2 linked regions of the Sus scrofa genome follow. The protein of the gene in region 2 purifies or fractionates together with the protein of the main gene of each other region. This does not show direct contact. Links are inferred from orthologs where the notes say so. Each region holds a gene or a part of one and is shown on either strand. Other genes may lie near its edges.

The links.
Region 1: the proteins of DAPK1 (region 2) and IFI30 purify together in Homo sapiens (affinity purification with mass spectrometry; 3 studies listed by BioGRID and IntAct, counting the BioPlex papers as one, with this or other methods). This does not show direct contact. The link is inferred for Sus scrofa from reciprocal best matches to the Homo sapiens genes DAPK1 and IFI30.

Annotation. Positions count from the first base shown.
Region 1 is NC_010444.4:59,626,385-59,637,666, forward strand, and holds IFI30 (gamma-interferon-inducible-lysosomal thiol reductase precursor), read right to left. Parts: upstream 7,331-11,282; 5' UTR 7,265-7,330; coding exon 7,145-7,264; intron 6,791-7,144; exon of another isoform or gene 6,391-6,790; intron 6,154-6,390; coding exon 5,971-6,153; intron 5,878-5,970; coding exon 5,803-5,877; intron 5,021-5,802; coding exon 4,928-5,020; intron 4,143-4,927; coding exon 3,990-4,142; intron 3,811-3,989; coding exon 3,757-3,810; intron 3,673-3,756; coding exon 3,610-3,672; 3' UTR 3,378-3,609; downstream 1-3,377. UniProt on the Homo sapiens protein: Lysosomal thiol reductase that can reduce protein disulfide bonds. May facilitate the complete unfolding of proteins destined for lysosomal degradation. Plays an important role in antigen processing.
Region 2 is NC_010452.4:27,947,622-27,958,827, forward strand, and holds the start of DAPK1 (death-associated protein kinase 1), read right to left. Parts: upstream 7,077-11,206; 5' UTR 6,980-7,076; intron 6,958-6,979; exon of another isoform or gene 6,584-6,957; coding exon of another isoform or gene 6,038-6,583; exon of another isoform or gene 6,017-6,037; intron 6,016-6,016; exon of another isoform or gene 5,769-6,015; intron 5,686-5,768; 5' UTR 5,572-5,685; coding exon 5,510-5,571; intron 933-5,509; exon of another isoform or gene 431-932; intron 1-430. Other genes in the region: basic proline-rich protein-like, read left to right, coding at 6,038-6,583, 9,460-9,588. UniProt on the Homo sapiens protein: Calcium/calmodulin-dependent serine/threonine kinase involved in multiple cellular signaling pathways that trigger cell survival, apoptosis, and autophagy.

The sequences.
Region 1 (11,282 bases), on a different chromosome or scaffold from region 2:
CTGCAGCTGCCGGCCTACACCACAGCCACAGCAATGCCAGATCTGAGCCTCATGTGCAACCTACCCCAGAGCTCATAGCAACACGAGATCCTTAACCCACTGAGCAGGACCAGGGATTGAACCCTCATCCTCATGGATACTAGTTGGAATCGCTACTGCTGAGCCACAATGGAAACTCCAAATTTCCATTTTTATTCCCCCATTTTTGGCAACCCCATGGCATATGGAGTTCCTGGGCCAGGGATCAGTTCTGAGCCACAGTCGTGGCCTAAGCTGCAGCTGTGGCAATGCCGGGTCCTTAACCCACTGTACCGGGCCAGGGATTGAACCTGCATCCAGAGGTCCCAAGACACTGCCAATCCCAGTGCACCACAGCGGGAACTCCTCACCAGCCAGTTTCAAGAAAGTAAGTCACGGGAGCTCCCTTCGCGGCTCAGGGGTTAATGAACCCAGCTAAGATCCATGAGGATGCGGGTTCGATCCCTGGCCCTGCTCAGTGGGTTAAGGACCTGGTGTTGCCATGAGCTGTGGTGTAGGTTGCAGATACAGCTTGGATCTGGCATTACTGTGACTCTGGCATAGGCCGGCAGCTACAGCTCCGATTCAACCTTTAGCCTGGGAACTTTCATATGCTGTAGGTGCCGCCCTAAAAAACAAAAAATAAAATAAAAAATAAAAAATAAGAAAGAAAGAAAGAAAAAGAAAAAAGAAACCAAGTCAGACTATTGGGAGCTAGTGTTTACAAAAGCCTTATGGGAAATCTGGCTTGCCTTAGAGGTCAATCCAGATCCTTGCCATAGCAGGGGAACTTCAGATAAGAGAGAAATTGGGGAGTTGCCTTGGAGCTCAGCAGGTGAAGGAAGTGGTGTTGTCACTGCTGTGGCTCGGGTTTGATCCCTGGCCTGGGAACTTCTGCATGCCGAGGGCATGGCCAAAAAAAAAAAAAAAAAAAAAAAGGTCATGGGTATCATGGGTACTGCAGGTGAAACTTGAGTTCTCGTCTCCAGTTAGTAAATGATAGAGACTTTGAGAAGTCCACTCTGAGATTCCTTATGGAAGCTTCCCGTAAAGCAAAGAGGCACCTGCTGCACCTGCGTAAATAATCAGGGCAAGTCTAATGGGACCAGCCAGTGAAGGTCTTGCTTAGAGATTAATTTTAACAAAAGGGACAACCCAACTTCTATTCAGCCATGAAAAAAAGAGAAGAAAATCCTGCTATTTGTGGCAACAGAGATGAACCTGGAGGGTGTTATACAAAGTGAAATTAGCAAATATAGTATGGTTTCTCTTATATGTGGATTCTAAAATAGCCAAACTCTGGAATTTCCTGTTGTGGCTCAGTGGTAATGAACCCGACTAGTATCCATGAGGACACAGGTTTGATCCCTGGCCTTGCTCAGTGGGTTAAGAATCCAGCATTGCTGTGAGCTGCAGTGTAGGCCGAAGTTGAGGCTCAGATCGGGCGTGGCTGTGGCTGTGGTATAGGCTGGCAGCTGTAGCTCCTATTTGACCCCTAGCCTGGGAATTTCCATATGCCAAGTGTGTGGCCCTAAAAAGCAAAAAACAAAAATGCAATAGTCGGCTCAGAGTCCCATGTGGCTCAGTGGGTTAAGGACCTGACATTGTCTCTGTGAGGATGCTGGTTCAATCCCTGGCCTCGCTCCGTGGGTTAAGGATCCATTGTTGCCTTAAGCTGCAGCATAGTTCACAGATGCAGCTCAGATCGGGTGTGGCTGTGGCTGTGGTGTAGACTGCAGCTGCAGCTCCAATTTGACCCCTAGCCCAGGAACTTTCATATGCTGTGGGTGCAGCCATCAAAATAAATAAAATAAATAAAATAGCCAAACTCATAGAAACAGAAGAACTTTGTTGTTAGGGGCTGAGGAGTGGGGGAGATGGGGACATGTTGGTCAAAGGGCACAGACTTTCACTGTAAGATGAGTAAGTCCTGAGGATCTAATGTACAGCATGGTGACTAATGTTAACAGTACTGTCTGGTAGGAGTTCCCATTGTGACTCAGTGGGTTAAGAACCTGACTAGTATCCATGAGGATGAGGGTTCGATCCTTGGCCACGCTTGGTGGGTTAAGGATCTGGTGCTGCTGTGAGCTGCAGCGTATGTTGCAGACATGACTCAGATCCTATGTTGCTGTGGCTCTGGAGTAGACAGGCAGCTGTAGCTCCAATTCAACCCCTAACCTGGGAACTTCCATATGCCACAGACGCGGCCCTAAAAGCAAAAACGAAACAAACAAAAACAAACACACCAACAAACAGTACTTTTTGGTATAATTGGAATTTGCCAAGAAAATAGCCTTTTTTTTTTTTTTTTTTTTTTTTTGTCTTCTCTAGGGCCGCACCCACTGCATATGGAGGTTCCCAGGCTAGGGGTTGAACTGGAGCTGTAGCCACAGGCCTACACCACAGCCATAGCAACATAGGATCTGAGCCACATCTGTAACCTACAACACAGCTCATGGCAACACAGGATCCTTAACCCACTGAGCAAGGCCAGGGATCGAACCTGGAACCTCATTGTTCCTCGTTGGATTTGTTAACCGCTGAGCCACCTGGGATCATGTAAGACTGTAGTATGTATTTAGCAGAAAAAAAAAAAACCACATGGAAGTAGATCTATGTAGTTCATACCCATGTTGTTCAAGGGTCAATTGTATTAAAGTTAGAAAAACGCAATAAAGCTAGGTGGAAAGAAGAATGTGCCTGTCCCCTGCCCCTGTGAACAAGTCAGTTTTGCACAATTATTTCAATATTTCTAATCTCTAAATCTCTGTCTTTTGAACATCTGCCCAGGTTCATTAAACATGATTAAATAAAATATTTGTTGTGTATTCTTTTGTCATCAGTGTGAGAATCATGGTTTTTCCTTTTTTTCACAATTATCCTATCACACACCCAGTTGTTCTCAGGTGCCTCAGCCTGGCATTCTAGCTCCCGACTTTGCTGCTGTCTGGGCCTTTGCATACTTTTCCCCTTTCCTGGAACACCATTCTTTCAAACTCCCCAGACAAGGTCTGTGCCCCATCCTCTGGCCTTGCCTGGCCCTAGTTAACATCCTCTGGCTCAACCCATAGTACCCAGTGTGGGGTCAGCAAAAAGGGGGGAGATAGGGATGTTTGTTGAATTGATAAATACATTTTCTGCTGGATGAACTTCTAGTCACCCTTCAAAACCTCAGCCCCCATACCTATGAAGAACCTTCTCTCTTCTGGGCTCCTCTAGCTCTGGTGCCTCCCCCTCTGGCCCATTCCCCCCCCCCAATGGGGCTAGGGATATCTGGCTGGCTCTGCATCCCCTGGACAGGTGGCTTCACAGGGGCCCCAGGATTGCACAGATCTGGAAGAAGGGGGTTTTCCGTCTTATCAAATGAATCACAACATCTCAAAGTGTTTATTAAACAAGTTTCAATGTAGCACCATTCTCAGTGGGCAAGATTCTTGACCTTGGGGCAGAATTTTGAGTCTGGGCTTTGTGGAATGTGTAGACATCATCTGCATGATGAGTAGTGGCTGCTGAGAGTCAGGGATCAGAAAATGAGGGCAGGTGGGATCTTGCTCTTCCTGTATTAGCTCTCTCTCAGGGCACCAGCTGTCACTTGAAGCAGACTTCCTTGTGGGAGCTGGCCAAGATTTGGCAGACATCCGGCTTCTCACCCTGGAGAAGATAGCCATGAGTTGGGGTCCTGAAAGGAGACCTTATCCCCACCAGCTGGATCCCTCTGTTCCCTGTCCGGCTTACCTCGTACAACTGGCAGACGAGGCGTAAGAGCTGGTCCTTCTCTGTCATAGGTTTCTGCACAAGCATGACAGGAGGTCACAAGTCCCACCCACCCCAATCAACCCATGCTCAGCCCAGAAGGGGCTGCAAATTGTCCCAAGTGTGGCCCCGGACGGCTGCTCCCAGACCATTGGGCACATCCATCACCCAGGTCCCTGCCTGGAGGCTGACCTGAGGGCTGCAATAGTTCTTACCCCATTGACGACGACCCAGGGCACATATTCATGGGGTGGCTTCAGAGCATCTGTGAGTTGGGCATTAATGTGTAAGAGCTGCATGCCACGGTCCCCCATTGCACACTCCATGATAGAGTCTGGGGATACTTTTGGAGCATAGATCTGCAGGCACTGAGGGCAGAGGGGGAGCTGGTCAGTTGGAGCGTTGCCTCAGGTTCCTCCCTCTTATCTCCCCAACAGGAACTCCCAACCAGCACTGCCTGCCCCTCCAAGCCGTTTCTGTTTCCTCACAGGGGACAGTTGGACTCACAGGGGTACAGCAAAGCCCATAAACATCAGGTGCTTAATACATGCCTGAGAGCAGGGGCTCAGGCTGCTCCTGTTTCCAATAAGACCAGACCAGACCCCTAGAGTGTTTCGGTTTCCTCAGAGCATCCATACATGTTGTTCCCTCTGTCAGGAACACTTTTCCTCCTCCTTCCCCTGAGTCTCCTGAGTGTTCCTTCCTCCTTTGCACTCCTCCAGCCACACTATGACTCTGTAGAGCTGGAGGTGTCTCAGGGTGGCTCAGGTCTCTTGGGCAGCCCAGATGTTTGATGAATGAATAAGCAATCGGGGCAGATGAGTCACTCCTTTGGGAGTTCTTTTTCATAATCCTCCAGGGAGGTAGGGGGGCCCCATACCCTAGAGAAGGATCATCATCTGGGTCCCTCCACATTCCTATTCATTCAAGCCCAGCTCAGAGGCACCTGGTCCAGGAAGCCCTCTCGGACCTACCCACGTCCCCGGAAGATCTTTGTTCTCTTGATTCAGAGATTGAGACTTTGAGAGGGGAGGCAGTTTTCCTGGGGCTACTCAGAGAGCGGCAGTTGGGGGCCAGGACTTGAACCTGGGTTTGTCTGGATGTAGGGAGGCCAGGGTCCCCCAACTCAGGTGGAAGGAGGGGCATTGCTCACTGGTTCCAGATTTTTCTCCATGTCATCCAGTTCCTCTATGCAGACAATGGTCAGAAAGGCCATGTTCTTCTCCAGCTTGTCCAAAAGGCAGGCCTGGGAGTGGGGATGGGAGGGGGAGGACATGAGGGGGGGACCTGAGTACCCCAAGACCACTCTGGGATTAATCATGGGTGTCCATAAATAAAGTGGAGACAGGGAAATTCCCCTTGTGGCTCAGCGCTAACAAGCCCGACTAGTGTCCATGAGGACATGGTCGGATCCCTGGCCTCGCTCAGTAGGCTAAGGATCCGGCATTGCCATGAGCTTCAGTGTAGCCCACAGATGAGGCTCAGATCTGGCGTTGCTGTGGCTGTGGTGTAGGCTGGCAGCTGTAGCTCCGATTCGACCCCTAGCCTGGGAACTTCCATATGCTACTAAGAGTGCGGCCCTAAAAAGACCAATCAACAAACAAATGAACAGACAAAACCAACATAGAGAATGAAGAAGTGATTAAATGGAGGCACACAGGAAAAAGAATGGCGCTTGTGGCAATCCCTTCTTTTTCTTTTTTTTTTTTTTTTTACATTTAGAAAGTGGGGGACCAGGAGGTACTCTGTTCCTCTGTTCCGTAGAACAAAGGCACCTAGGCTTTAGCCCACATGACTTTTATTAAGGAAGGTGATGAGATTATTATTAGTGGGATTAAGGAAGGTGGCAAGATTAGTGGGCAGGAACAGGCATAGGCAATATTGATTGAGGTTATCTTCTTAGTGATATCAAAGAGGGTATCCTTAGGACATAAGGCAATCCCTTCTGAGTCTTGATTTCACCTTCCTTATCACCAGTAGACTCCTCAGCCTCTATGCCCCCCACTCGGGAACTCTGGGGCTGCTCACCTCCACCTTGTTCATCTTGCACTCCTGCTCGCCGTGCTGGCACGTAAATTCCCACCTGCCGCTGACATTTCGTTCCTGAAAGGCAATGGGGTAAATGCTGGCTGCCCCCCACCAGCCGCATTCCCTTCCCCTGGCCGAGTGCCCCCAGTTTCCCTGGTGCCCACACACCTGGGCGTTTCCATAGGGTACCAGTGTGACATTGAGGATTTCCCAGACCATCAGCCACGTGGGGAAGAGCTCTCGGACTAGGAAGTACCGGCAGCCATTGCACAGCGACTCATAGTAGAGGTTCACGTTGACAGGTGGAGGGTCAGACTTCCCCACGGGTCTCTGCAGGCATGGCTCACCGGCCTGCGTGGGAGAAAGGGGTGTGAAATCAAACGAAGTCCTGCTTGGTTCTCTTGCAGAAAAAGAGCTGCAAACAGGAAGTGATACACTCCTTCCAGACCTTGCCAGATGGAATCCTGACTTAAAGGCTTCACAGCATCCCTAAATCTTCCTAAATCTCAGTCTGTCTGCAAAATGGATGTGAAAAAGATTCGAAAACAGTAGGCAGTTCATGTATGCACAAGTCTTGCTTTCCTCCAGGTTAGGTGAAACTCCCCACGCGGGGGGACTGCAAGCAGTAAGAATTCAAGGCATGCTCACTTCTGATCCCTGCCGTCAATCCTGCCTTCTGAGCGGTGCGTACCGCGAAAGCATGCTCATTTGTCACTTCATCCCCAGAGCCCTGGCCGGGAGCTGAGCGAGCGTCTATACCCGCGCTGACTCCTTTTTAAATTCTTCCTCTCAGCGGGCTCACTGAACCCCTCCCAAGGCTACTGCAGAGGCGGCGCCTAATAGGTGCTGACTTCCGGCTACAGCTGAGGGGTGGCGGTCGCCCGCGTCTGTGAGCAAGTCGCTCAGACTCCGGGGCATCTGCTTCCTCCGCACCAGAAACACGCGAGCTCCTCCCGGGAGCCCCTGACGAATGCGGGTGGGCGCTTAGGTAATCCGGGCTTCCCCTGGGCTGAAAGAGAGATTCTGATTCCCGCTCCAGAGGTACACAGTAGGTGCTCAATGCACCCTGGGATGGGGTGGGGGAATTGCGGGGGGTGGGTGGGGGAATTGCGGGGGGATGGGTGGGGGATAGCTGAGCGACTCAGATTTCAGAAGGAAGCGAAAGAGAAAGGAAAGTGTGACCAGCGAGGCGGGGTGTTTTTTGAGGGGGTCAGTACCGATCCGAGAAGCACCTTCCCGAGCCCGGTCGACTCCGCCGAAGTCTGGGGAGAGGGGAGGAGCCGCCGGCCCCCTACTGGGGCGCCAGTCCCCGCTGTCCCTCCCGCCGAGTAGCCGTCCCTACCTTGCAGGGGGCCGCCCCCTGGAGGAGTGACTGCAGCGGGGACGCCGGCGCTGCCGCGGGGACCTCCAGCAGCAGCAGCAGCAGCAGAGGCAGGAACGGCAGGAGAGGCGACGAGGCCATCACGACGGAGGGGCCAACGTACGACGGCAGAAGCAGCTGCCCCGGGAAAGAGCCGCCTTTAAGCCGGCGGTGGCCCAGCCCCCCTGCCGAACCCGCCCCCTGGTGCCCACGCCCCTCGGGGGCCCGGGCGGCGTCTCTAAGCATCTCGACTTCTCTCTCTCTTTCCTTCTTTCTCTTTCTCTCTTTCTTCTCTCCTCTCTCTCCCTCTCTGGGTGTACCTTTTCCACCTGAGCTCCACCCTACCCCCACCCCCACCAGGTGCTGGGCCCCCAGTCGCATGGACCATGAGCTGCTCTTCGATCTCCCCCGTCCCTTTCCCGCAATCAGCCCCGACCAGCCGTGTGAGGCTTGAGCATCTTGAGCAGAGGTGAGGTGGGGGCTTAGAGACAGAGACACAGCAAGACCGAGAGTTAGGAGGGCCACTCTGGGCCCAGGGATCCCTCTTGGGGGCGGCCAGGTTGACCTAGCCCCGCCCCGCCTCCCTAGCCCAGAGACCCTGCCTTCCCACCCTGTGCTCTGATGTGGGTGGGGGTGGCCGATCCTCTGCCTGAGAGTGGGCAGGGGCTGCCGCATCCCCGTTCCCTCCCTCTAGCCTGGCCCAGGACCCTTCTTCCCAACTTTCTCCCCCTCCCCCTCTCAGGCTCCCCAGCCCTGAAGCTCCAGATCCAACAGCGTGGTCCCGTGAGGCTGACTCAGGCTTGGCCACAGCTGGGCCAGAAAGCAGAAGCCAGAGCAGGGAGGGGCACCTCCCTTCTCTTGGTCCCCCACTCCTGGCTTGGGGGTGGGAGAGAAAAAAATCTGGCATTTCTTCTTTCTATCCTCCAGGGCTTGGGGAGAGCAGGCCATCCCTCCTTTCAGCCAGCTCCCTTGCTGGAGGAGAAGCCGAGTCGGAGCAGTCATAACTGAAAGCCTATAGTGTGTACATGGGGTGGGGGTGAGGGATCAGCCCGTGGAAGACCCAGGATGGCAGGAATCAGCCAGAGCCAGGTTTGCCCTGGGACTGTGCTGGGCACCTCAAGTGGTGGAGCCTCAACTTCCCCTTCTGTAAAATGGGAGAAGTGAGGTTTGGGAAATAAAGCTACCAGAGGGAGAGTTGCCCCAGGCTGCGGGTAGAGGTGGCACATCTGGGTTTGTAAGCCTGGGAAGGTGTGGACAGGACAGCAGTGTGGGAGGGAGGAAAGAATGGCCCAGATAGGAGTTCCCATCGTGGCTCAGTGGTTAACAAATCCAACTAGGAACCATGAGGTTGCGGATTCGATCCCTGGCCTTGCTCAGTGGGTTAAGGATCCAGCGTTGCCATGAGCTGTGGTGTAGGTCGCAGACCTGGCTTGGATCTGGTGTTGCTGTGGCTCTGGCGCAGGCCGGCAGCTACAGCTCCGATTAGACCCCTAGCCTGGGAACTTCCATATGCCGTGGGTGCAGCCCCAGAAATGGCAAAAAGACAAAAAGATTAAAAAAAAAACAAACAAAAAAAAAACAGTCCAGATAAAGGCGAGAAGGCTGGGAGTGTCAGGGAAGTAACTGAGACATTCAGACTTTGTAGGGCCTTGACGGGACAAGGGTCTGGATTGCACGGGAGGAAACACCCATCCCTGGCCCAGAAAACAGCCCAGTCCCCCAGCCTCCCTAGCCTGGTCCCTTCCAGTTCTGGGGAAACCCCAGCCTGCATGGCCACATTCATGGAAGCTGGGGTTCCCCTGAAGTCCCCAATAGCTGGACAATCCCCCATCTGACCTTTTGGAGCCATTCACAAAACCCATTTCCTTTGTAGAAGCTTCTGCAAGACTAAGTAACCCCGCTTGGGGCAACTAGTGGGCGCTCCATGCTGTACTGGGCAGGACAGAAAAAATAACAATAAACAGAATTGCTACGATTTTCCCAGTGGTTATTAAGCCCCAGCCCTATAGCAGGAATTCATAAACCTCACACATTTGATCATGGAACCCTCAGAGATAGCCATTGGAGGTGGGGGTAAGCAACTATTGACCCAACTTGGTAAGAGGAAAAATTTTTTTTAAACATTGTTATTTATTTATTTATTTTTTACAGCCGCACCTGTGGCATACGGAAATTTCCAGGCTAAGGATCAAATCGGAGCTGCAGCTGCCGGCCTGCACCACAGCCACGGCAATACTGGATCTGAGACCTATGCTGCAACTGCGGCAATGCCAGATCCTTAACCCACTGAGCAAGGACAGGGATCAAACCTGCATCCTCAAGGACACTATGTTGTGGACCTTTTTTTTTGCTTTTTTAGGGCTGCACCCTCAGCATATGGAAGTTCCCATGCTAAGGGGTTGAATCAGAGCTACAGCTGCCAGCCTACGCCACAGCCAGAGCCATGTGGGTTCTGAGCCACATCTGCGACCTACACCACAGCTCCTGGCAATGCCAGATCTTTAACCCACTGAGCGAGATCAGGGATCGAGCCTGCATTCTCATGGATACTAGTTGGATTCACTTCTGCTGCGCCGCAGCAGGAAATCCACTAGGTTGTATTCTTAACCCACTGAGACATAACAGGAACTCTGGTTAAGAGGAAACTGAGGAGCAGAGAAGGGAGGAAACACGGTTGAGTGCGGGTACCAGCTTAAGGCTGTGTGGGCTGACTGTTCTCTTTGGTCCCCAGGCTGGGCTACAGGACTAAGAAGGTAAGCTTTGTACTGCATGTTCACCCACATGGTGGGTGAAGGGGCGGGGTGGGCAGAGTCCAGGTTGGAGTTATTTATGGTGCCTCCTGACTGGCCACTCAGTGGGGTCAGTGCTTGGGAGAGTTCAGAGCTCTGAGGCCAAGGGAAGCAGCTCCTGTCCTTGTGAGAGCGAATCACAAGAGATGAGGCAGAGGCAGCCTCATCCCTCCATCCCCCCAGGGCTGCCTCAGGCATGTCGGGTGGAGGAGGGGGCAGGACAGAAGGCTCCCAGCCCTGGGTGTGGGAGAAGGCTGAGGGACAGGGACATTGGGGAAGGGGGAATGGTGGTGAACATGAGTCCAGGTCAAAGGCACCCTGAGGACCCAGCTTAGTGTCTTCTGAGACATGGCAGCCTGAGCATCTGGGCTGGTGTGGAGAGGGGTCAGTGGAAGGTCAGCAGGGAGGAGCTGGCATTGAGGGCATCAAGGACACGGGAGACTCCTCTGGGTGGCACAGGAGGGGTTGTGATTCTTGATCCTGCTGGCAAGGAAGACATTGCCCATTAGTGGGGAGGTGACTTTCTGGAGGGCAGGGCTCGTGGCTGAGTGTCAGAACTCAAACTCAAATGTGGTAGGGGGTCGGAGTGAGGAGCTGGGCCAGGGTCTGGGGTCCTCCAAGTAGGCCAGAGCATGGGGCAGAGCCTGGAGCCCAGGCCTCTCTGTGCGTCTGCACTTTTTTTTGGTCTTTTTAGAACCGCACCTGCGGCATATGGAGGTTCGCAGGCTAGGGGTCCAATCGGAGCTGTAGCCACTGGCCTACACCAGAGCCACAGCAACGCAGGATCCGAGCTACGTCTGCCACCTACACCACAGCTCACGGCGACGCTGGGTCCTTAACCCACTGAGGGAGACCAAGCTGCATCTTCATGGATGCTAGTCAGGTTTGCTGACCGCTGAGAAACGATGGCAACTCCTCTCTGTCCTTCTGGACATGAGCACCTAAACTGGTGTGGGGGAGGGAGGTGGGGAGGAGGCAGCGGCTGGCAGCCCAGAGCTAAAGAAGCCTGTCACCCCAAACAGAAGCATCCACCGAGTTCAATGTTTTATATCCATATCAGTATCAACGTACCATACAAAACCCACCTGCCAGCCTGGCCAGGCAGGCAGAAGGGGGGGTGGGGGTCCATGGGTGGTGTAGAAAACCAGGGCTCTCATCCCAAAAGAGGAGAGAAGAGAGGGTTTTACATATAGTTGAGGAAAAATAAAATCAGAACCCAACATGATCGAGAAGCCTCGAGTCTGCATCGAGTGGAGGTGCTGCGGGCAGCCTTGCGTGTCAGCCGCCCCAGAGGTGCTGGCTGCCTCGAATCCTTGGAGGCCTGGGGTCGG
Region 2 (11,206 bases):
TGAAAAGGCATGGATTAAAAAGCCCATGCATTCAAGCGGCAAGCATTTAGTGAGCACCTAGTGTCATGCACCTAATTAGAAGTCCCATTCAAAGCTCTCTGGCTTCCTGCTCCATAAACACCTCCAAACCCTAGGTTCCTGGCCCCAGGGAACCTAATTTCTACATCCCCAGGCGGTCCAGAGCCGCAGTGCCAGGGCTATCAAGCAAGCATTCAACCCAACTGCCACTCACTATCATCACCATGCCTCCCCCTTCACTTTCTGGAAGACTATTATTAGACCTCCCTCAAATGCATAAAATTTTAAAATCCCAGATCGTTCCCTCTAATACATATATTTGAATGTTCTCTCTCTTAAACCATTGAAGCCTTCCCTATCAGAGGAACTATCTGAAGGCACGTGGAAACAGAGATGCAAAGAGAAAACTCACATTCCGCCCAGTCCTGGAAGGATCTCGCTGGTCAACCTCGTGAGCCTGTGTGTCCCACCTCCAAGGAGAAAACAAGCTGGGGACTCTCTCCTCCCATCCCCACGGAATTGCCAGTATTTTTAGGACTGAGTCCTGCAGTGCACAGCAAACCAACTGAAAGATGTTCTCAGACTGTCGGTGTTTATTCCAATTCCTTGTGTCAATTAAAATGCCTATGGACTTTCTGCCAAAAGGAGAGTGTCTGCCCTTTGGACTATTAGCTTCCAGGGACCATCCAAACAAAGGCAGAATACTTAATGCTCCACTTTGTTTTGTTTAAAACTGATCTTGTGCTTGGAAATTTTGGCTGCCCTGCACATTACTGGTCAGCCAGAGAACGCAAGAGCAAAAACAGCTTTTATTTGGATGAGCTGCAGCCTTTAGTATCCTAAGTTCTTCCCTGCCAGTCATCCCTATTGAGGGCCATATACATGTATGTATATATATACATATATATATATATTTTATATATATATATATATATATTTTTTTTTTTGTCTTTTTGCTATTTCTTTGGGCTGCTCCCGCGGCATATGCAGGTTCCCAGGCTAGGGGTCGAATCGGAGCTGTAGCCGCTGGCCTACACCAGAGGCACAGCAACGCGGGATCCGAGCCGCGTCTGCAACCTACACCACAGCTCACGGCAACGCCGGATCCTTAACCCACTGAGCAAGGGCAGGGACCGAACCCGCAACCTCATGGTTCCTAGTCGGATTCGTTAACCACTGCGCCACGATGGGAACTCCGTATATATATATATTATATATGTGCACATCTGTGTATTCATGTGCTTTACAAATATTAATCCATTCATTCAAGCAGCAAGCATTTCTGGAGCACCTAGTGTCACGTACCCAATTAGGCATAAGAGATAAAAAATGACAAGCAAGTCCAAGGTCCCAACCCTGTGACAAGCTGTAGGGAAAGCAAATAATCAGGTAAGTAATGAGTCTGCATTGTGGCAAATGCTGTAACAGGGAAAAGAGGTTATTAAAAATAATATCGGAGGCAGCGACTCTGTGTCAGATGTTTACAGCCCCTGCCTCTAATTCTCATGACACCCTGCAAACGCAGGTGTCTCCCCACTTCCCAAATGAGTGTGCCAGGTTGTCCCACACCGCACCCCGCCTCTCCATCAATGTCAGCATCCACAACAGCATCATTTGCATCTCAAATCCCCATTCTGGTCTCAGTCTAGTACCTGCCTGCCGGCCTGCAGGAGCTTATTCAGGCATCGATCAAACTTTTGCCCAGAATTATACAGCACACACCCTGAAGGAACGTTTCAAGCCAGCTGAATGGAGCAATACGAGAATGTTAATAACACAAAGCAACGATGGAGCATGGAGGGGGCAGTCTGCGGCCATGACCAGTGGAGCTTTAGACAGCAACCAGCTTTGTCTGGTTTCTGAGAGGGACAAATCGTTGTGGAAAGAGTTACTCAGGAGATGGGAGCCAGATCTTAAGATCACATAAGGTCAGACAGTAGAAGAGGAAGACAGGCCAGTCCTTGAGGAAAGCAGCGCTCAGAAAGTGCCCAGAAAGCTCACAAGTTGGGCTCAACCACAGCCCAGAGTGTAACTGGAGCCCAATGGCGGGATGAGCCAGTCTTCAGCAGCCCCAAGTGCCAACTGATAAGAGATGCTAGGGCACCTGGGACATCAAAATGACCCAGTGTAATAGCACATGGAGAAATCCAAAGGTATAAGAACTCCTCCCCAAAACCATGACATGTGACAGCATTAGTTCTTTAGTCTACCTCCTAGAACAGAGGGTGAGAACCAAAGGGCCTCCTGGACTCACACACAGGTCACCCAGCAATCTTCTATAGGTGACAGGACCATTCACTGCAGGGACTTGTTGCCACCTGGAGGGTGTGCAAGTTCAAGGCCAGAGCTGCATTATTCGGAATCAGAGCAGAAGGGCCAAGGCTGTCAGCACAGTTCTCCCCCATGACCCTTAGCCAGCAGGACCTCCCTGCCCCAAATTGGTAAACAGACACTTAAAAGAATATTGAGTTGCAAACCAAGTTATTATCATGCCTGGAATACTCACATGTCCTGGCCAGTCCTACCGATTATATCAATATTTGTTTAACTCTTGACTGCTGATAAAATACTTTTACATGGCTTAGATGACTGGACATTCACAAGAGCCATGAACTAAGCACCAGGCCTCTCATTTTATAGATGAAGATCCAGCGGGTCAGAGAAGGTAGGTGACTTCTTCACTTACAGGTTATAGAGCCAGCCAGTTGTAGAGTCAATTTTGGACCAGAATACCTGTCTGCTCTATCACTACTGCAAATAATCATAATACTTTTTAAGTTCTTTAGGATTGACAGAAAGCTTTTGACAGTAGTCCTGGGCAGGACACACACTAATATACATAGACAGACAGATAGACAGACAGACAGGCAGGCACACACACACTCTCACCCCCGTACATACATACTCTCTGTTTTTCTAAAAGTAAAGTAACAGCAGTAGCAATCATAATGCTATTTCCTACCTGTTGAAAAACCCACCTTCCCCTCCTGTAGCTACGGACTTTGACTCAGTACATTTACAAGGTAAGCGAGTAGCTGTTATTTAGATTGCCGCCAAAGATAGGTAGGGAAAGTCTTCTTTTTTGTTTTGGTCTTTTTAGGGCTGCATTCATGGCATGTGGAGATTCCCAGACTAGGGGTCCAATGGGAGCCATAGCCACCTACACCACAGCCAGAGCAACACGGATCCGAGCCACGTCTGCGACCTACACCACAGCTCACAGCAAGGCCAGATCCTTAACCCACTGAGCAAGGCCAGGGATGGAACCTGCATCCTCATGGATACTAGTCAGATTCCTTTGCCACTGAGCCATAACAGGAACTCTGATAGGGAAAGTCTTACATCCCAGATGTTGAATAGTTTATAACTCACTGCTTAGAACAACCTCACTTTTGTGTTAAATATCTGCCAATTTCTGTTTTCTGCCACTAAGCTCCTGCCTCCACATCCCATCTTGTCTCAGTGACACAGAGAGCAGCATCTTTCCTATTATGTCTATCTCATGTCAGGATTTGTTTTCAGGAAGGAGGTAATTCCCAGCAGACATAAAATGCATACGACTTGAGGAGGAAAAAAAAAAACCCCACCCATTACTGCATTTCTAAACAAAAGATCAAACAGACAGCATGCATTCTTTATTTTTAAAAATCTCCACCTCCCAGTTTTTCAGAGCACTTCTTTCAAACTCACAGGTCACCTACAATAAAGTATTCAATAAACAATCTGTCAATTAGTCTTGCACAGTCGGGGCAAAATTATACACAGAAACGTAGAACAAGCCAAAATCAAAGCAAAATACTAGTGACAAATGAGCCAACCACTTGTCATCGAAGAGGCAGAGGGCCTGTCATCACACCCACGAAATAAAGATCACAAACTCCCTCACTAGCCACAGGGAGGCCTCATTTTTTTTCTCTTCTCATAACACATAATTCTACCAAAAGATTTTCACGAAAATAAGGTCAACATATTTAATCTATAAAGCAATCATCTCACCTACTTTGAATCATCCTTCTTTAGGAGAGAATTTATATAATCAGGCCACACTACACAAACAGAATTAAAATATATTTTTTTCACCTTTTTCCCTTGCTACCAAAGGAAAACCACGCAGGAATAAAGTGACTTCATTCTAGGTAAACAAAGTATTTCAACCACATGCCCTTAAACCATAACCTTAAACATATCCAGGAAACATGACTTTTTAAAAATAATTCAATGAATTTTATTATATTTATAGTTGTACAACCAAAATATGACTTTTGAGAGCTCCCTTCATTTAGTCACTCAGTAAATCCCCAACATACAGTTAGCTCCTCTTAGGCATGAGCCCCCAATGACTTCAGGTCCATACTAAATGTGGACAGAAATATTCTGATACAGCAACTTTTAAAAAGTCACTTCCTTTCTGAACTATCACTTGAAAAATCATTTTAGTGAAAATCAACTTTCACAATTCTTGTTAGGTAATCTAGGGTGTGGGTGTTTCTGAATTTCCTTTTCATGGGAAAAAAAGGAAGCACTGAATCAGGGGACATCAGGGGTCTATGAAAAAAGATGTATTTTGATACACATGGAAATAAACACATACTTTTTTGTTTGCTTAAAGATCCTTTTATCTACTTGACTCACAACATAAATACGCTGCAGTCAAATTCCCAATGTTGAATTTAAATTTGGGTGTGGAATCTGGCTTTTCTGCTAAAGTTAGACCAGGGCACTACCTACCCTGTCAAATCCCTGGTGAAAGGGAAACCCATCCAGCCCTTGGAGGCCCCCAATGAAATCCTTCTTTGTTCACCTGGAACTGAAAGGCTTCACATTCAGAATCACAGCTCCCTCCCACAGCACTGGAAGTATGCTCTGAATCCAGATAGCCATATTAGACTCTCAATCAGGGATTTGTTAAAAATTTAACGTTGCGAATGAAACCAGAGCAACCACTGAGACCAACCACGTAATTAAATTCATGGTTCAAGGAAGTTTCAAAATCCAATTCAACATCTGACAAGTCTCCATGTGTGACCTACCTATACTTGTGCATATCACTCTTGAAAACTCAGAAAAAGGGCAAGTCTTAAGCTTTTAAAAATAAGCCTATTAATCAGTTTGTACTTCGTCTAAATCACACATAAGAGCGAACTCCAGCCGCAATTATATCTCAGCTTCTGCCTTATTCTGGCAGAAGGACCACGGCTGACAAGAGTTACTGCAGACAATTAAATCTCTTGTCCAGGAGTCTTGATCCATACACCCTGTGTCATAATCTAACACTGAAATCGCCCCTCCACCCCCCAGCCCCCAGGATTAGGTCGTTTATTTCTGGTCCCTGGTCGTCACTGGGTTAGTAACTCTTTTCTCTATAATTTGCGTGTCTCCTGGAAGGGCAAGGGAGACGCCTGATTTCAAACTGCATTTGTTTACCGCCCACTGCTTGCAATAACATGCATTCGCACAACCCAGAAGCGTGCGCTTCCGGCACCCCCAGTACCTGCCAAGTTCCTCGCCGGTGTCGTAGTAATCGTCCACGTTTTCCTGCCTGAACACCGTCATGATAAACTGTCACGCCTCACCAAAGCCCAGCGCACTTCAGCTCCGCTTCCCAAACCATCACCACCGCTCCTGCTCCTGCGCCTCCGTGGGCCCCTCATGCATGAGAGTCCCGTCCTTTAAAAAAAAAAAAAAAGGTAATAAGAATAACAAAATGACAACTCCCAAAGGAAGTACCTCTCCCCAGGGCTAAGACCCACTTGCTGAAGACCACCTCTCCGGAGCTGCCCCTCCCCTCCGGGTGGAGAGGAGCACTCTTTGTTAAACCCAAGCCAGGGACGCCCCCAGCCCCGCATCGCCCGCGCACGCGTGGGGCCGAGCACAACCGCACCCCAAGGTCCGCTTCCCCGAAAGCAAGGCGCTGGGCTAGGATCAAAATCGGCTCCGGAAGTGGCTGGCCTCCCCGCCTCCTCTTTCTCTGCACACACACGCCCACCCAGCTCCCCACCTCCAGGGGCGCCGCGGAAGAATGAAGCCCTCACCCGGGCGGAACACTGCTCGCTGGAAGCATCCCTCTCCTGCCTGCAGCGGCGGTGCAGCCCCCGCGCCACCTCTCGGCTCCCGCACCTCCCCGGCCACCTTCTCTCCTCCCTCGAGTCACGCAGTCCCCAGAGGCACATTCCTGGCGACTCCCGCTCCGTTACCCGGCCGACCCGGCTTGCGGCCGCCCGGGGGAGCAAGGGAGGGAAGGGAGCGGCCGAGGGAGGCGCGGCCGCCCGCTCCCGGTCCCCGCGCCTCGACACAAAGCGCCCGGCCCGCGCCACCTGTTTCCACCCGCCCCACGAGGCCGGGGGCCCCTCCCGACTGTGATCCCACTTCTCCCCGCAGTCAAGTTTACCCCGCCTCGGCCTTCCCGGTGGTCCAGGCGGCTGCCGGGGCAAACCCCGCCGCGCCGCGGCCGCGAAAGCAAAAGCAGGCGGCGGGGCCCGGGAGGAGCCGGAGAGCCGCGCGCGGCCACTCACCCGGGCGCCCGGGAGCTGCCCGGGTCCCTCCGGAGCGCTGTCCGAGGCCAACGGTAGGCGCCAGCGCCGGGAGCGAGCGGGGCGGCGGCGGGAGCGCAGGGAGGCAGCAAGTGAGGACGCTGATCCCGCGCGCGTCCGCCCGGCGTCGGCTCGGCTGAGCTCTCCCGCTCCAGCTGCAGAGCAGCCCTCGGCTCCTCGCCGCCTTCCGGGCGGAGGGCGGCCGGCAGGCGGCCAATGGGGGACCCCGCGGGCGGGCTGGCGACACGGCCCACCCACCTCCGAGCTGCCCGGCCCGGCCGTTGCTGCGGGTGCTGTGCTGCGCTGGCTGCTCCTCCCCGCTCGGGGCTCGCTGGCGCGCTCTACCGCGCACACCCCCGCACACACCCACTCACCCCGCACCCGCGTGGGGAGCGCAGCCATCGCGGCCGCGCGCACCGTGGGCGCCCCACCTGTGACACGCCGAGACCTGCCTCCTTTGGCGGGATTCCAGGGAAATGTCCTGCAAATGTGTCCTGAGCGCCTAGGGTGGGCCAGGCACTGTGCTCGGCACCAGGAAATCGCAGGGAGCGTAATAGGTTTAAAAAAATCCCTGCCCTCATGACACTTGCATTATGGTGGCGAAGCCAGACAATAAATATGTAAGCAAATAAACGAGATCACTTTAGATCCATTCTATGGAGACAAAATTGAAGGATAATGAGATAGAGAATGACAGAGCGGGAGTGGGCCACATTAGGTGGCGTTCCCCTCCTGGACAGGGCTTTTGAGCTGGGATTTGAACTATAAGAAGGTATGAGGAGTTCCCGCCTTGGCACAACTGGATCAGCGGCATCTTGGGAAGAACGCAGGTTCGATTCCCCCATAGGCCGGTACAGCGGGTTAAGGATCCAGTGTTGCAGCGGCTGCAGTTAAGGCCACGTCTATGGCTCGGATCTGACTCCTGGCCTGGGAACTTCAGATGTACAGGGTGGCCAAAAAATGAAAAAAATAAAAATAAAAAAGAAGGTATGAAACCAGAGAAGAAAGGTTTTAGGTCTCAGAGGCCCAAGGAAGCAGCAGAAATGAAAGGTCTATGCGTGCTGTCCAATATGGTATTGAGTACAGATGACTTGACATGTGGTTAGTCCCAAATGAAGAGTCCAAGAAGGGTGAAATACACATGGGATTCCAAGACTTGAATATTTTTTATATTAAATGCATGTTCAAATGATAATATTTGGGATGTGTTGGGTTAAACAAAAGCTATTATCAAAATTAATTTCACCTTTTCCTTTTTAAAATACAGATACTAGAAAATATGAGTACCTGTGTGGTTTGCAGTTCTATTTCAGTGGGCTGTGCTGCTCTACACAGAGACCCCATGTCTACTGGAGACCCTTATCCATACTCTCTGCTTCTTCTTTTTTTTTTTTTTTTTTTTGTCTATTTAGGGCCGAACCCATGGCATATGGAGGTTCCCAGGCTAGGGGTCCAATCAGAACCATAGCCACCAGAGCCACAGCAATGCAGGATCCAAGCCATGCCTTCAACCTACACCACAGCTCAGGGCAATGCCAGATCCTTAACCTACTGAGCGAGGCCAGGGATTGAACTCATGTCCTCATGGATGCTAGTCCAGTTCGCTAACTGCGGAGCCACAACGGGAACTCCTTCTTATCTTTTTTTTTTTTTTTCCCCTTTCCATACACTCTACTTCTTACCCCATGCCTCCACCAAGCCCTGGAGTAGGGGGAACAGAAAGGATATTTCCCATAGGAACTGCTGGGGAATCACTAAAACTGAAAAGCTCCTTCAGAGAACTGAGAATTACTAAAACTTTGTAAACCCTCTGAGATTTCAGAGCCATGTCATGGTTCAAATTTCCAGATTTTCTAAAATGAGATGGTTTACACTCTCTTTAGGTCAACAAAAATTTTTGAAGGGGGCGGGGAATGCCCATCAGCTCTTATGCTTTATGTCAGACCTTCCTCTTTAAAGAACAGTTCATTCAATGGCCCAAAGGAAGGGCATGCGTTCATGATGATGGAATCAAGATTCCAAATTGGGAAATTGATAAGTGGTTCGTTTGAGAGTTGATACAAAAGGATCTGAAGAGGTGAGAAATGCAGTCAAAAATAATAACAAAAAAAAATGATTCATCTGGGGGAAATGCAACTGAATACATCTGTTGGAGGGAAACAGATTCTTGGAAAATTCGAAAATGCTGATGGATGACTGCTTTAAGGGTAATATTTTTCCTGTGAAATAAATGTGTGTTTTCCAAGACAATGAGAAGGACTGGCTCCGTTTGGGGACTAGCATGTTTTTTTTTTTTTTTTTTTTTTGGTCTTTTTGCCATTTCTTGGGCTGCTCCCGCAGCATATGGAGGTTCACAGGCCAGGGGTCTAATTGGAGCTGTAGCCGCTGGCCTACACCAGAGCCACAGCAACGCGAGATCCTTAACCCACTGAGCAAGGCCAGGGATCAAACCTACAACCTCATGGTTCCTAGTTGATTCGTTAACCACTGAGCTACGACGGGAACTCCCTAGCATGTCTTTTCTACATGCTGATCACAGGAGAGCTTCTACAGTAGCAAAAAAGTGCAGGCAGGGCTTGGGAGTCACAAAATTGGATCCAGTATGGGTGGAACCATTCAACCCTAGCTGTGAATGACCCTGGCTGGGTCCCTTTCCTCTGAGTTTCACATCTGCCCTAATTTAGGCAAGCATTTTAGAGAGGGAAATGTGCCCAGACATTCAATGAAGATGCAGAGTCTAATTCTCCCCATGAATACGAGTTGGCATGAGTGGCTTGATTCTAAGAAACTGTACAAGTGATGCGGTGTAACATCCTTCTAAGGTTTGGCCATAAGGTGTTAGAGCTTCTGCCTGCTTAAAACTCTCTCTTGCTCACTCTCTTGCTCTTGCTCTCTCCACTCACTCTGGAAGCCTTCAGCTGCCATGGTTACCCTGGGGCTGCCATGTGGAGAGACCACAGAGAGAAGCCCAAGGAAGCCAGCTGTTCCAGCCCCACCCCCACCCCCAGCTATTCGTGTCTTCACAGCCCAAGTTCTGTGAGTAGCATAAATGATTGGTACTGTTTTAAGTCACTATCTTGGGGTGGTTTATTAGAGGCAATAGATAACTCATAAGAAAACCTAACTCAATGTGTACCACATGCCAGGCAGATGAAATTATCTCTTGCTTAATCTTCAAACAACTCTGTAAATCAGTTGTTTTTTTCCACTTTATACTACACCTTCTTCGTCTCAGTTCCACCACCTGCCAAATGAGGAAGATAATAGACCCGGTGTATTCCTCAGAGTTGCTGGGAGATTCAATAGAGATAATGCATGAAACAGGACCTTGTACATTGTAAGAGACACCAGAATGTTGATATTACATTTTCTGTCATGTTCCAAGCAAGAAGAACTTTGAAAGACATCTCTTCCATGGAGGATAACTAAACTATTAATCCTGAAATTATGAGATTCAAGCTGTAAGGGACTTCCATGAAAAGAACTTGATGATGTTATGGACTATGGCTTATGATAATCGTGGTAATAACATTTAAAACAGACTCAAGTAGAGAATTTAGGACATTATTTTAAATCTGCATTAATCAGGGTAAAATAACTGTTGCTATAAAATGCCACAGATCTCGGAAGTTTGACACATTCATGGTTTATTTCTTGCTCTCAGCACAGATGTTTGCAGGGACCAGAAAAAGGGCTCTGTAATAGTCATAGTCATTCAGGGACCCAGGCTTCTGCCTTTTCATAGACCCATGGTTACCTTGGTGCATTGAGTTTCTCCATTGATATTTTTCATTCTCTGAAGAGAGAAGAGAGAATCCATAGAGGACTGTATTGGAGATTTATTTCGGGGGGTCAAGTTTGAAGTCTGAGGCTTAACCATTTCTTGGGCAAGATGTTCTAAGATAAATCAAAGTGAAACACACTAGCTCAGTTTACCTTTGGGTTTTTGTTGTTTTTTGTTTTGTTTTGTTTTGTTTTTGTTTTTGTTTTGTCTTTTTAGGGCTGTATCCGTGGCATGTGTAAGTCTCCAGGCTAGAGATTAATCGGAGCTGCAGCTGCTGGCCCATGTCACAGCCACAGCAACACAGGATCCAAGCTGTGTCTGTGACCTACACCATAGCTCATGACCTATACCACAACTCACGTCAACACCAGATCCTTAACCCACTGAACAAGGGCAGGGATCAAACCTCATGGCTACTAGTTGGATTCGTTACTGCAGAGCCACAACAGGGACTCTATGGGTTATTTTTTAATAACTTGCCTTTGGCTTTTATCAAGGGCTAATAGATATATACTTTTAAAGACATTTGTTTTTCGTTTGTTGGTTTGGTTTGGTTTATTTGCTTGTTTTTGCCTACGTCCATGGCATGCAGAAGTTTCCGGCCACGGATCAAACCTGCACTGCAGCAGCAATCTGAGCCATAGCAGTAACAATGCCAGGTCCTTAACCCACTGAACCACCAGGGAACTCCCAAGGGCTAATGATTTTTAAATGGCCTCATGAAGAATGTTTCTGTACCTGTGGTTTCCCTATTGAAGAGAGTGCCCATTATACAGTTGCATGCCTCTTAAGTAGACAGTCACATGACTGAAATTCCTCTTAGCACTGAGTGCTAAGAGAATGTATCACTCCTGATTAAATTAGACAATGAAAA